Linked DNA regions of Astyanax mexicanus. The protein of the gene in region 2 interacts with the protein of the main gene of each other region in a biochemical or structural test. Links are inferred from orthologs where the notes say so. Each region holds a gene or a part of one and is shown on either strand. Other genes may lie near its edges.

Region 1 (7,871 bases), on a different chromosome or scaffold from region 2:
ACCATCACAAAGTCCAAGTCCACATCCAAAAGTTTATCACTCTTATAGTCACATATCTTGAAGTGGTGGCCATCCTTCCTTCCAATAGAAAACTAATAGACTCAGCAGCTTTCACCCTCAAGCAAAATCTAACACCTGACTCTGTTAATCAAAAAACATCTCAATAATTCAATTATTCATGGGGAAGTTAAATGACAATGGTTGATGCTAAAGTCTGGGTAGATCTCAAAGAGCAGGTGATGTGAATGACCTCTGCCTTGGTCAGGCAGTTGTTACTAAGCAATTCTAAGCTGTTCATAGCAGTTACTGAGTAATAAGCCATTCTGGTTAATAACAATAATGAATAATGAGCCAACAGCAGGGGTGTCAACTTCAGATCCTGGAGGGTCAGACGTCTGCTGAGATTTGTTTCCATCGTGCTGCCATCCTGTGCCACTCTGGACTTACTCAACTCTTGAAAAAAGATCATTGCTAATCAGCTGATGAGCTGTCTTCCCAGACATGTTAACTCCTTGAACCTGTTTACTGTTTGTTAAGCTTGTTGTAAGCTTAAGACTAAATATTTTCTTAGCGATTACACTCGTAATGATAAATGTGATGCTACTAAATATTAAAGATCCTTTGTGTTCTACTAAAAAGCCATGTGTTCAAATGTATACTAAAGAACCTTTCACTAACACATCCTATAGCAGTGATTCTCACAGAAGTCTTGATGGTTTTCAATGGTTACAACACAGCAATGGAGCAATGTGAGAACAGTCTACTTGTCCCCAAAGTCTAGTTTGACCACCAAAACCAAAAGGAACCAAAAGTAAATGTTTCTTAAACAAAATTGCGGAAAGAAGACTTTCAAATAACTTTATTTGAGATAGTTTTATTAATGTTGGTTATTTTAGAACTACATGGAAACTATGCCCAAGTAGTTATTATAGTGGTGGCCTCAACGGAGGCCTCAAAACATGAGGCCTAAACTCTGCAGAGCTGCAGCCCTCCAAGACTCAAGCCTGACACCCCTGCCACAGAGTTCAGGAGATTGAAGCTAAAGAACCTGCTTCAGCAAAACAGGCCGCCACTCACCAGACCACACCGAAGGCTCCGTATCCAATGGGCCTGTCCGGCTCGATGTCCAGTTGCTGCTGCAAGTGGTGAGCATGCTGATGGTGGTGATGATGCGCCTTGACTGCCGCAGCGGCCGCCGCCTGGACCTGAGCTGGGGCTGCAGCCGCCGCCGGGCCAGGGGCTTGTCCGGGAGCAGGCGAAGGGAAGTACGGCTGTTGCTGGCTCGGGTTCAGCATGACTGCAGCCGCCGCAGCCGCGGCCGAGGCGTGCTGCTGTTGCACAGGGTGCACGGCCGCAGCCGAGCCAGGGTGCTGCAGGTGGTGCTGGCCCGGGTGGTGGTGATGGTGCAGGTGAGGAGGCGGAAGGTGTGGCAGTTGGTGGTGGTGGTGAGGGTGATGGGCCGCCACGGCCGAGGCGCCGCCACTGTACGCAGCCATCATTTTTGCGGCATTGGTCGCCGTCGTCCCGCAAAGAGCCATTCACTCAACAGCCAGAGGAAGAGAGGGAAAGCGAAAAGAAAGGAAGAGAAAAACAAAACTAAAGAGAAAGGGGACAAGAGCGAAAATGGGGTCTCCTGAAAGATCAAACAGGCGAAGAGATGGAAGAGGCCTAGCCTAGATCATTGGCCTGCTATCTATCCAATGGATGGACATATCCAAACAAAAATGCTTGGAGTAGAGCAAAGTAAGTGTGACAAGTGTGAAAAGATGTTGAGTGACAAGACTAGATTTGAGTGGCTTTAACATGAGTGCACCAGCTCTGTCTCTCTCTCTCTTTCCCTCTCTCTCAGCTCTCATAAAGTCAACTCCATGCTTCAGCTAAGCTAGCTATCTTCCATTTGATCTGACCTACTTCTGGGAAATGCGCTTTGCTCTCTTATGGCCAGGCAGGCACTACAAATTTCCCACAATCAGACCACAATCACAACTGCACATTCAGAAAAAGCCTGAACAGCTAAAAAAAGCAAGGAAATGAAAGAGAAAGAAGAATGAAAGAAAATAAATGTTGATGATGATGGTGATGATGATGATGTGACTAACAAAAATCCCACTCCCCCCTCAGTCCAGAGATCCTGTATGGCCTTAAATCTCCCTCATGTTGGAGGTAAGAAAGCTCTCCACTCTCCAAACAACCTGAGGCCCTTGTTTCCCTCCTTTTATCTCCTGTTTAAGAGTGAGAAGGTTGAAACTGAATGTGGTGGGTTAAGTGGGGAATGCAACCTTCATCTTTTAGACTTCTTCACATTGGCCATGTTGGCTGGTCCGGAGCCGAGGCTGCTTCCACGGCCGGAGGCTGCATGCAGTGTTTTTGGAGTCAGTGAAGAAGTTAGCACTGGATTCTCGCCCAAGGCCAGCACCTCCACAACCAGCACGGAGCTCTGGTGCTCGCTAGGCGGCTGAGATCACTCTGTTTCGGGGCAGAAAGTGGACCAAACCCCCTCCATATATGCAGCTATTCCTGCTTCTGGGTTAGAGCTAGGAGAGGCTGGCTGGCTGGCAGGGTGGATGGATACGACAGGTACTCCTGAACAGCTGTAGCTGTAAATCTCGCTGCTTCTCCTTTTCCCAAACGTCAAAATCGAAGCCCCCGAAGCCCCTCCGGTCCCCAAGCCCCCATCGCGTCGACGAAACAAGCCGAATCACCCCTTCTCCTCCCCGGAGCGAAGAACACAAATTCTTCCGGAGCCAGTCAACTTATTTTCTCCATCGACTCCTCCGGCGTGAGGCAGCTAACCCTACACTGCTGTTCCTTCCAGACACCCTGGCATAAATCCGCTCCAGGAAAACAGATCCACAGCTCCGCGCACCGCGGAGGAATCGCGCAGCCACAGCCGGACCCCGCTGCTGCTGCTGCCGCCTGGACGTTAAGGCAACACGCGCCCGAGCCTGAGCTTCTTCAGACCAACCGTCGACTCCCCCCCTCCCCTTATGACTGACGCCCGTGACCGACGTCCATTCTGACCAACCGCGTCGCGACCCAGCCACCCTCAACCAATCACAGCGCGCCGCTCTCGCCTCTAATGCGGGCTTGCAGCCAATGGGCGGAAGGGGGCGGAAACAGGCGAGCGACCCCAGCAGCAAAACAAAGTGGGGCCTGTTGCCTGTGAAACGGACGCCATTACGGCAAGAGAGAGCCGGTGTTCTGTCAAGTTGCACTACCCGTCAAAATCTGCTGCTTAGAGGCCGTGCGCATGCGCCGACTCACATGTTTGAAAAAGGTTTTTTAATGTGGATTTTTTATGATAAAAATCATTAATAAAAATAACCTATACTTTTCATCGCTTGCATAAAATAATATAAGCTTACTGTAACTATTTCCTTGAGGTTAAAATAAAATTAAAGCAAATTAAAAACAAACATAAAAAAGCTTAGTTTCGTTTTTTTTTTTTTTTTTTTTGAGCGTATATTTCCCTGATGCACTTATTTTGGCCATATAAAATCCAGCTATACTTCTGCTGGGAGTATGTAAGATATGGTGCTTCTAAACGTTTTAAACGGAAACCAGAACGTATTTTTCTTTTCCATACTGTTTGTTTTACCTAGGCAGCTCTACCTATAAATAGAGCTTCGCTGTCGAAGCACGTTTTGACAGGGTAGCACAAATCGGCACAACACAGGCCAGCGCCGGGGGAGCGGACGGGCCAAACCAACCCAAATGGCCGAGCTGGAGCTCCGCTCTGCCCGCTGCAGATCAAGCGGAGGCAAATAATAAAATAATTAAATTGAGCAGTTATTCAGCCCGCCGCTGAACGGCCTCTCTGGGCTGGGAATGACTGCCACCATCCGCCGGCAGGTTACTGCCCCAGGCGTGCAGCCGCCGGGGTAAAGGTACAGGCGGCGGTAAAGTTTGGGTTTGGGGTCAGGTGAACTTTCTCATCCAGCACCTTCCTAAAGTAATCGTAAAAAAATCGCCTAACTCATATTTTCAAGTTTTTTTTTATAGGAAATACATAAACATTAGACATTTAAAAATAAGCAATGGTTTAAGAGGATATTTTATCATACAGTCAAGCAGTTCAATCCTAAATCCTGAATTCTAAAAATATTGATTTAAAAATCAGAAAACATTTTAACAGCCACTTCTAGAATACTTCTAGCTTTATGGAATTGACTGCTGACTAAAATCCAAACTAAAAATACAGAAAAAAAAATAAATAATAAAAAATAAACCTCAATAATGAGACTAAAATGTATTCATAAAAAGTAAACTTTATATAATAGTAAAACTCTCATCACTTACTAGGTGGGGATGTTGGAAAATTAGATCAGTGAAGGGAGCTGCCATCTTTTTTAGGCATAATTTACTAGCTTAAGTCACACTCTTTGCATTCCTAAAACTGAGAGTATAGGGGATTTTACCACAGGTGGCTAGTGTCATGAGGAGATGATTTAGAGAGAAAAAATCAATAAAATTTGTCAAAAGAATTTTGATTATTCTGGGAAGGTGAGCTTACAAATCTAAAACAGTATCTGTATAAATAGTCACTTGAGATATATATAGGCTGGAGCCTGTCCCAGCAGGCATCGGACGGAAGGCAGGATACACCCTGGACAGGCCGCCAATCCATCGCAGGGCAGACAGACACAGACAGACAAACAGACACATTCACTCACACACTCACACCTAAGGGGCAATTTCAATCAAGTTCCAATTAGTCTGAACGTGCCGTCCTTGGACTGTGGGAGGAAACCAGAGAACCTGGAGGAAACCCACGCAGACACGGGGAGAACGTGCAAACTCCACACAGGAAGACCCGGGTTGCCCCAGCCGGGAATCAAACGTCTTGCTGTGAGGCGGAAATGCTACCCACTGCGCCACCGTGCCGCCCATATATATATATATATATATATATATATATATATATATATATATATATATATATATATATTTATTATTAATAAATATATATTTATAATGATCTGTGGAAAGTGACTAACTGCATTTTAACAAAGAAAACACGCATGATTAATTATTTTTGCTTGTTTATCATATACTTGCATTTTTCAGATTAAAAAGCACATTTATTGTCTGGCAAAGATAACCTAAGTAAATATAAAATCACTTTTAAATCATCATTTAATTTGATATGGGTAAAAAATCTATCCAAATCAACATGGCCCTTTGTAAAAAAGTATTTTCACCTAAACCTAACGACTTGGTTGTGCGCTGTTTGCCATCAAGTGTTTGTGATAACTGGCAATGAGTCTTTCACACTCTGTGGAAGAATTCTGGCCCACAGCATCTCAATCAGACTCTGACCCCAAAACATTGTTGTGGTGGTGTGCTTTTTATCATTGTCCTGCTGCAGAACCCAAATACACCTGAGCTTAACGTCATGAACCGATGGCCGAGATTTTCCTTCAGGAGTTTCTGGTAGAGCAGAATTCATGGTTCCATCTATTACAGCAAGTTGTCCAGGTCTTAAAGCAGCAAAGCAGCCCCAGACCATCACACTACCACCATCGTGTTTTTAGTATGATGTAACAGGACTCACACATTCCAAAAAGTTCCACTTTTGTCTCACCAGCTCACAGAATATTTTCCCAAAAAAATGGGGAGTATCTCACATTTGTTGGCAAATATGAAACAGGCCTTTAGATGTTGTTCTGGATGAGTTGTTCATGCCCTTTTGGAGTAATTTTGGTAGATTAATCACTCCTGAAGAGGTTCACCACTGATCATTTCAATTGCTTTTACACATACAGCCAAATATGTTTGAATATTTTTTTTCCTTAGTTAATTTAAAAAGCGCTTTTGTTTGACAGTCTGAAAAATAAGTATGACAAAAAAGGCAAAAACAAAAGGTGGCAAATAGCACATTATGTCTACACAGTTCTGTACAGTCTCCACCCTGTGCACAGAATATTACTTGTTTGTGTAAAGCAAATAGACCAATTACAGTTTTTCAAAACACTTTTAATGCAGCGTCTACATGACTTAATATCACACATTCTTTTCTTTTATAGAAATTGTGTCATTACAGTTACGGGTGCCACCTGCAGTTGAAAGCATTTTTCTGTCAGAGCATTAAGCAGCGAAACTAATTCAAGGTGAGACACTGTGGGGAAAAAAAGAACCTCAGGAACGGCAACTGTTGTACGTTTCTCATTAAATACAGGCACTATTTAAAACAAAGCAATTAATCCCATGCCCAGGCTTAAATTAAGGGCCATGTCCTCCTTTAAGCACAGGCCTAGTTCTTATAGATGAGTGTATCATGCTCTACATCAAACGCTGCCAGTGCGTGTCACCTGCGGGTGTGGGCTAACTGAAGCTCTGGGAAGACCTGGAAGTCAGGCTTCATCACCATTGTCCACAGAGATGATCAAACTGCTCTGAGCTCATTCCTCAAACAGGAATAACGAGCTGCCAGCCTTTCTGACCTGATGACTCAAAGCTCACAATATGCTTTATAGCAGTCATGCAGTGTTCAATTATTTAAAGATCAAAGCTGACTCATCGGTATTCAGTTATTAGAGGCCTAGAGTTATTAATGTCATTTTTATGGGGTTATTAACTTGTTAGAAAGCTTTTATTAAATGAAATAAAATGAAATGTAGTTATGTAACACTTTTTTAATATGTTTTATATGTTGTTGCAAAGCATCTCGACATAAATCTGTAATATGAGAAAAGATTGAACACGGGGACCCATCCTCCTTTGGTCAAAATTGCTGTACTGATATAGTCATAGTAGTGTGGTGGTAAGAATAATGAAAGTAATAGTGATGGTTGATAGTGGGAATATTAATAATAATTACAACTAAAATAGTAATACTTCATATTACTTATTCATATTACTTCATATTATCATAATTAATAGTCCATGTTAATCTTGTCAATTATAAAGGGTGGCAACTAGTCCAGGTAGAGGCAGGTATAGCAGTAGCTGATTGGTGAACAGAAGGTAGCAGGATGACCTAATGAGAAAGGTAAATAGATAGAATTAGTTCTGAACACAGATGATAAGAGCATGGCAGATCTGACTCTAACATGCTAACTATTAGCTAATCAGGAAATAACTTACGTTCACATTACAAGCCAGATTTTTTGCTCAGATCAGATTTGGCTGTCTTGACAGTTCACATTCACAAATGTAAGTGAGCTGTATCTGTGTGTAATGTGAACGAATCTGTCCCTGAAATGGCTCACGTGTGCACATTGATACCTGTATAAACGTCTCCTTCCTCACCAACAACAACAAAAAACGTCATATTTGAGAGACGACTCGTAGCTTTAAAAAGGGAAATGATGAGTTAACATCTCATATGTGGAGCATCTATTGCTGGAGTGGAGAAACAGCAAACAGCTTGTCTGAAGTACATGCTCAGGTAGAGGAGTTGAAAAAAAGGCCAGGTGGTTTGCTTTTGCTGTTTTTTAGAGCTATAGCTGCACAGCTGCACCAAAAGATGTGTGGGTACGAGAGATAGCATGTAGCGCATGCGTAAAAGCAAAAAAGACACACTAATTCCAATTTGACCGTTCACATTCATGTCTCATGTCCATGGATCGAATATGTATCCGATTTAGAACCACATAGAAACCTGATTTGAAAAAAAACAACAAAAAAACAGATTTGGTACGTTTACACAGCCATGAAAAAATCTGATCTGAGCCGAATCAGATTTGAGTCACTTCAGCCTGGTAATGTGAATGTAGCCATAGACATGAGGGCACCCTGAAACACTGCTATCTATCTGCTCCAACACCCACAAATGTGAATGATGTGAGTAACATGCAAGCAGCTGGATGACAGCACCAATATTCAACTATTTTATCCTGTTTATCTATTGGTTCACTGCAGAAAAAGAG
Region 2 (8,058 bases):
TCCAGCGTGTTTTGCCTAAGTGCCGTTTTCCTGTCTTGGCCGAAGGGGCATCATAGTCATGTTCATAACTCTCCACATCGTCATCTTCTTCATCGCTGCTGTAAACACTGAAAAAGACAAGGGAAAGGATAATTAAGGGAGTGAGTGAGTGAGGAAGAGACAATACGGAGAAGGAGGGGGTAACAAGGGGCAGTGAAAGTAAGTGGGAAAAGGGGCAAATGAGGGGAGGGGAGGGCACAGAAAGAGAGAGTTAAAAAAGGGAAAGTGAAGAAAAGGAGGGGACTATGTTCAGTGTAATTAGTAAAAATGGCACAGATCTTTTTCTAATTTGTCTATATGTACACTTACATCCTTAATGAACATCTAAAAGTGCTTGTTTAAAACGCTTTGTTTTCTCAGAAAGGACACAGCACATGGACAACAATAGCTTGAGGGAGAGAGCGTGAACGTGCCTGACGGATGTTGGTATATTAAATCCAGCCCTGTCCCTTCATAGCATCATGTATAATAGAAAAATTAAGCGATAACAGTCAAAACAAAACCAGAAGTGGCTGAACCTGTACTGCCAGCAGGCTGAGAGAAACCTGTTCTGATGTTTTTGGTTTCCACAGATACGCTAAGTGTGAACACGGACTGAGAGTGTTTCCTCACCGCAGCGTGTTCAGACCTGTGCAGGTACTCTACAAAACTCACCTGGCCAGCTTTCAGCCAATTAGAATAATGCACAGCTTACGTGGAAGACGGAGCTGCCCTGGCCTTTGTGTCAGTGTTGTGTATATATACTGTATGTGTGTGTGTGTGAGCCTTGTGTTTATTATAACTACTTGGTGAACTGATCTACAGATAAGAAAATAGGAGCAGGACAATAGCCCCCTTTCTTCATGATGTTCACCCTATTTTTGGTTAACCTTTTGAACCCTAGGTTTGTTATTCTGTTATTAAACAGAATTCTTATTAAATTCAGAAACTTTTAAATTTGCAATTCATAATGTGGGGACAGTTTAGGCCCACAGGGCTTAATTTTAGGGTCTACTACATTGATGTAATTTATGACAGTATTGCTGCTATGAGGGAGAAGGCATGCTATCTTATGTCTTATCATATAATATATAGACAAGCTCACTCATTTTTCTGACCTCCACATTGTGTTTTCTTAAAAAAAAAAAAAAAAAAAAAAAAATATATATATATATATATATATATATATATATATATATATATATATATTTACATAAATGAGCCATGTGTAAACTTTTATTCCACTTGCAGTTTGTAAATATTCCCACTATTTAAAAGATTTCAGCTCTTCAACAGTGTGTAACTACATGTATTATATCAGTGGCATAAAATAGACTTTTAAAATCACAATACTCTTTTTTTTTACTCCAAATAGTTCTGACACAATATATCGTCCAAACAAACGTACACACACACACACACACGCGCGCAGCTTTGTCCTGCTAAGCTGCAGCACATCCTACCAGCACGGTGGTGGTGTTGGTGGTGGCTCGTGCACGGTGTCACTCGAGTCCATCACCCCGCGTGCGCTCGGCGTGCCGCGTTCCTTTGGCGGTTGGTTTAAAATGTGAAAGTTTAAATTTAAATTCTCGCTGCATTCTAAACCGTTACAGCTTTTTAAAAAATGTTAAACGTTTATTTTGTTCTGTTAACGAACGTAAATGTTATATATTAACGTTTTTAGCGTTACTTTCATTAAAGTGCAAGGTAACGTTAAGTTTGCAAGGTTATGCTTAAGTTTTAAAGCGATTTAAAGCATTACCAAGACTAAAATGAGACTAAAGATATGCTATTTCAGGTGACAATCGCAATTAAAGTGGAAAAACGTGCTTCTAAAATAGATTAAACAACAGGCAACACGTCTTCACTGCTTCAAATAAGTGTTAAATCATCACTTTCAGAGTCAAATTAAGCTACCGTTGGCTAATATGGTGAGTATTAGATAAAATGTTAACCTACATACATGGTGTTGATTTAGCATTAACATTTAACTAACGCTAAATGTTCTGGAATCCAACAAGTTAGTTAGCTACCTCATAGGCATAGCTTTCTTACCACAAGTCGTAACGCTCGTATTAATAGCTACCCAGATAGCAAAAAATGTTGAATCAATGTTCTAATGCAATGAAAAAAACGTTAGTCAACGTTAGTCTCCAAAGTCAGAATTTTATAATAATAATTATTAATATTTATGAGGAGCACCTGTTACCTTAAAGCACTGTACTGTGAGTGTACTGTAGTAGTTAGTTAGGTAGAGCCAAAACCCTTTAAAACCTTTAAATGAACGTTGCTTTAATGTCAGAAATTCCAAACATGAACATTAGCTAACTATGCCTATGTTAAATAAATATATATATTTTTTTCAATTTTTCCATCATCTAGCTAGCCATCTTAAAAATGTAGCTAGATAGGAAGGTTAATGCAACCAAAAAACGTAAACTAAACTAACGTTTACTCAACGTTCTCAATGCTAACTATCTATCAGGTGTATGAACGGACTCCACAGTATGGGAACTGACGTATAACCATCGTTATCCTCACGTGCATAGAAAGAGAGAGAAGAGAGAGCAAGGTTTACAGAATAGGCACGAGAAACTGAACGATGGCATGAATGAATGGCAGTGCGGGGGTCCGCAGCGCACGCGCCACGCCGGCCACTACAGCTCGCGCTAGCTAATCCACCTGTTACCAGCCAGCCCTCAACGCGCGAGCTGTCGAGCGCTCGAGCTCAGAGCCATGTGCCGCCGTGCACGAGCCGTTAGAGCTGCACTATTAACTAAGTTAGAAACTAACTATAAAACAGGCGAAAACGACAAACAAAGTTTTAGCAAAAGCTGAAATTAGAGTGGGTAAGAGACATAGAAACACACATAAAAAGATACAGAGAGAGAGAGAGGGGGGAAATGTAAAGAGTGTAACGCTAGCTTAATAATATCAATCGTTACTCATGCACGGTAACTGTAAGCAACTAAAAAAGCTGCGGTAACGTTAATTAACCCGGTTGCCGTTACCTGTGTCTCTTGAGCCTCGACATCCCGCTGCTCCGTGGAAGGTGGAGTGTGTGTGAGTGTGTGAGAGTGTGTGTGCTCTGCGCCTATAAGCTCCCAGAGGCTCCGCTTAGAGAAGGAAGTAGGCTGACATTAAGTTCACTACAAGCAGAGTGTAAACACACACACACTCACACGCGCGCGCGCACGCACACTCTAACATGCATGCATCAGACAAAAGCTGAGTTCCCTCCCGCTTAATTTGGCGCCTCTGGGCCGCGCATGCGCACGGAGGTTCCTGACGCACTCCTGTCACCCAGAGCGCCATTTAGCCCTCAGCTCGCGCTAAACTTTGTCTCTATTGTTTTTAAGCCTCTTTCGTTGATTTTCTGAGGTAAACCAGGGGTGAAAAGGGATATTTGATACGAAACAGTGTGTGTTCTGCAAATGTGGACTAGATATGCCAGCTTTTAAACACACGTGTCCCTGTTCTCAATAGCAACCGATTATATTATAACTAATGCACATAGTATTCACATTCATTACTCTGTAGGTAGAAGTATAGATATAAGGGTTTTAACATAAATACTTATGCAGTATCAATTCAAGCTTTTTGCTAATAAAGAAAAAGTGTAAAAATGCTGGTTTCAAAGCTACTTAAAGTATAATAGTAAAAGTAATGTACCAAAAAATTAAGTGCATTAAGGACAAAAGCTTAGGCCACACCACAAGGCCAGCAATTATCAACTGGTGGGACAGGATTTGTAAAAAAAAATACATGCTTTTTAAAAAATAATTAATGCTCATCTGATTTTTTTTCGTCTTCTATATTGGGGAAAAATGAAGGCAAATGATTAGGCAAATATCTAGTTTTGTGGCCTTATTTATTTTGTGCAGATCTGATATTTAATTTTATTGTAGTAACTTTTATACATGTAGTTGTCATGTTCCTCCTCAAATTAAAAATGCTCTTTTTTGCATGCATATGTATGTTTAAATAGGTTTTTGTATTCTATAAAAGTGGGTCGCAACTAAATGACCACAATTTGAAAATGTTGGCCCGGTCTGAGACCAGTTGAGAACACCTGCAGTACCTGTTTCAGCTGCATATATGCCCATTGAAATGGATGTAATTTAGTTTTATGTAAATATATTAAGGAAGCTTAGTTGGACGTTTGTCTCGAGCACGGATCATCTTCATACTAGGCTACATTTGTCTGCTTTGTTCTTGCTGGAGTGTGACGTGACGTGCAGGTACGATGAATCGCGTAAAAACCAATAAATCGGGTGCCGAAATGTTTATACTTCTGATTCAACCACAATTAAATTCACTCTATGTTCAAGAATGTTTTTTTTTTATGAAGAGAAACCGAGGCTATATTTAAGAAGTAGAAGGTACAGATAATCATGTGAAAATGGTAGGAGTAAAAGTGAAAAGTCTTCTGAAAAATAGTTACTCCAGTAGAGTAGATAACCAAAATGTCTACACAAGTAAGGTACTTGACACCTCTGAAGGTACTAGAGACCCAGACTTAAGTAAAAGCACCAGTGTCCTATCAAAAACAGAAATCAGTGAAAAGTTCTCAGAGTGAAAGGCAGAATGATTCCTAACATTTTTATAATTGTAACAAGTAACGATGCAGCACATGAATAAAAATGTAGTAGGAGAAAAAATAATACTCCAGTAGACGCAGATATTATTACTTTAGTATTTTAGTACTTCAGTACAGTAGTGAAGTAGTTGTACTATGTTACTATACATCTCTGATTATATTATACTTTTATTGTCCTACAGACTTTAGCTGAACTTAATACTGTATATTGACTGGCTGTCTGCAGTACAGCCTGTATCCGTCCACTCTCACTTTCACTTTAAGATAATTTTATGGTTTCAGTTGTCTTTTTTCTTTCAGTTTGCCCTTGCCCTTGGCTTGCCATTAGTCTAATCTAGTCTTAAGGTTTGGAAGCATATATAACATATATAGTATTAACCCTACATTGTTGCAGAACATAGCAATTAAATGAAAATGGTTCTAAAAAAAATTTACTTTGTCTTAGAGAAGTTATCTTATAGATCCTGTGAAGCTGACATGCAAAATATTTAGCCCCCTTTGCTCTGTGACTTTTATTACACCCTAAGGCTTACTAATTGGTAAATATATGCAAATACATGCAAAGTGGCTGAGTTATTCCTAAGTTAATGTATTGGGGAAAGCCAGAAACCACTGGTGGTTCTAAGTTTTTTTTTTCAGTAGCTTATAAGAAAACATCATGAACTTTGCCCTCACTGTGTTATTACACAATCATAAACTCTAGAATGTGCACACTGCTAAAATGAAAGATTACTAGAGTTATATTGGGAACCATTTCTAGTGTTCATTCTTTTATTACTGTAAACTGTAATCATTGAGTTAATATCTTTAATCTGATTGAATACAAATCATTGAGATTAATGTTTAGTCACTGTTTTTCATTGTAAACTTTACTAAAAACTGAACTAAACTCTGAATTAACGCTTTGAGTTGTATTGCTTTTTTAAGTTCTAGTGGTGATTCATTTTCTCACAGTAGACTGTAGTATTAACTTTAAAGTATGAGATCTAGTGATCACTGCTTTTTTCGGTGTAGGCTGTAAACATTGAGGTAAAAGTTGGAGTTACGTTTCTGATTTAAAGTCTTTAAACTGATTTTAACGTAAGTAAACTGTAAACTCTTAAGTGAAAAGAACATTTGTGAAAGATATTTGTTAGAATTTGAGTAAATTTCAATTGGCTTAAAAATAAGTAAACTGTACACAAGTTAATGTAGTGTATTACATGTTTCAGTGTACTTAATTGTCCCTTTGTCTTTTACACACACAAACACACCCACACACACACACATAGCAGATCTGTCGGAATCAGCAAAACCTGTAGGCCTGTGTTTTGTTCCCTCAGCTCTGTCTTGCTCTTATTTACTGTCATACTGTCACGGTCACTTATAATTACATCAGTCGGATTGGCCCATTGTCTCTGTCCACCGATGCTCATGTGGAGCGGAGCTCAGAAATGTGGCATTGTTGTGTCACCGCGTGGGCTGGACATGCTCTTCCATGCATTTCAACAAAAGGCGGGAGAATCTGGGGGGTGCTTGAGATTTTGAGGGGAGAAAACATGTTAGTTACAGACGGATTGCTTTGAATTGTTACTAAAATACAGAGATCAGGTTTCTGAAAGGAATCTGAGTAGTGTTAGACTGTCATTCTGTTAATGCTGGAGACAGCGTTACTGGGTTCCAGTCACTGTTGCACGTGTTCAGCAGATTATCAAACCAATAAAATACAGATTAATTAAGTTAATTCAATTACAGAACATTAGCATTTGGCAAATATTCTGTATATAAATACTATAAGGATAAAAAGAAGAGGAACACCTGCTATCTCATCGTTCCTTCCGAAGTTAAAAGTATTAAAAAAGTACTGTCCAGCAACAGCTTCTGCTAGCTTTTGCATAATTGCTATAAGGATTTGATTGCATTCATTAATAAAAGCTTTAGCGAAGTCATGACCCCACCTCATCCTAACACTCCAAGTCATTCAAAGGTTCCAGAGAACACAGTTCCAATTAGTTCTGCACCAGACATGAGGACAATGTTGGAGCCATTTCTTTGTTTTGGTTAAAGTTGTATTTTGTAGATGTGGATTTAACACTTCTATTTGTAGCATGTGAATATTTGTAGATTTTGTAATTTCTTTAATGTGATAATCTGATTGGCTACTAACTCCACTGTAAAAACATAATGACACATAGAAGACTCCAGAAGCCTCGAGCCAGGAGCATCACAGTCTTTCTACAGTCATGTAACTGTGTAAATTTATTTAGTTAGGAATTCATCATTTGTGTTGTATTTTGATAAGTTTATAGTAAAGATAAAACAATTAAGAAAAGTCAGTAACGAGTGCATTCATTAGAATGGACATCCACAAACGTTTGGATGTACAGTAGTGTATACTGTAATTGTATATATATTGAGCATAATCTGGACAGCATTAGGTGTAAAAGTCATCATGCATTACATAATACTTTCAAAGAAGCAAAGAAAAGCTTGCAATATCGACATCCTCTCACTTGAGCGGATATAGTAGAAATGGAATATGACTCAGTAATGACCTCTATGGAGAATAAGCTCATCTGTTGTGAATGTTAAGTTGTTAGAGTTCTCCTTCATTTCAGGTTGGTTTTAAATTGGAAATATATACATATAATACATTTAAAACAATATCAGGGCTGCTGAATTACTTACTTAATTGATTAGCCAATTAAAATCAAGGGCCTTCATTCACCACACATTAAAAATCATGTATATGAAGGACTGTACAAACATGTTGTCTTTCTTCTTGCTCGTATTTTGTTTTTCTTTTCCGTGGGCTCTCTCTTTCATGGATCTACTTTTTTATTTAGCCTTAGCTTATCTTAGCCAAGCCTAACCATGACGAGCATAGTGCTAAGTGTTTGTTTGTCACCAGCTAATTCTCCTAGTTTACAGCCTCTTGCAGCATTTTATTTATTTATTTATTTATTTGCTTTAACTTTAGCTTTTGGATTTTTTTTTTAATAATTTTTGTTTTGTACTTTGTGTGACGAAATCCCTCTCCTGGTTAAGAGTAGCATTACACATAGCTAGAGGCACACAACTTCTGTCTATGCTTTTGGACATACCATGTCACTAACAAGCTCCTCTTAGTATGTAATGCTGCAGGCTGGAACACAAAGAGGAGGGGGCAGTGGGCGGGGTACCTGCCAATCTATTTCGACTTCACCCAATAAGAAAATTGACCACTTTTTATTAAACCTGTTGCTCAAAATGATTACCTGCATGGTAAGCCTGGAAAGATTTAATTTAATTTGATAATCTGAGGCAATTTGTTCATCAATTAATTTGCACAATAACTATAACTTACATTGAATTTTATGGTCAGGTGAATTAACTAGATTTGTATTTATTCTTCTTTTAATTTCATTCAAGTAAAATAATCATAGAAAATTGATGGAGAAAGAAAATGCTATAGAGTGAAC

The links.
Region 1: of the proteins of myb (region 2) and nlk2, one has a biochemical effect on the other in vitro, tested with the Homo sapiens proteins (2 studies listed by BioGRID, with this or other methods). The link is inferred for Astyanax mexicanus from reciprocal best matches to the Homo sapiens genes MYB and NLK.

What each region holds. Positions count from the first base shown.
Region 1 is NC_064425.1:29,108,698-29,116,568, forward strand, and holds the start of nlk2 (serine/threonine-protein kinase NLK), read right to left. Parts: upstream 3,004-7,871; 5' UTR 1,539-3,003; coding exon 1,078-1,538; intron 1-1,077. UniProt on the Homo sapiens protein: Serine/threonine-protein kinase that regulates a number of transcription factors with key roles in cell fate determination. Positive effector of the non-canonical Wnt signaling pathway, acting downstream of WNT5A, MAP3K7/TAK1 and HIPK2.
Region 2 is NC_064420.1:44,418,719-44,426,776, reverse strand, and holds the start of myb (transcriptional activator Myb), read right to left. Parts: upstream 3,207-8,058; 5' UTR 3,053-3,206; coding exon 3,030-3,052; intron 108-3,029; coding exon 1-107. UniProt on the Homo sapiens protein: Transcriptional activator; DNA-binding protein that specifically recognize the sequence 5'-YAAC[GT]G-3'. Plays an important role in the control of proliferation and differentiation of hematopoietic progenitor cells.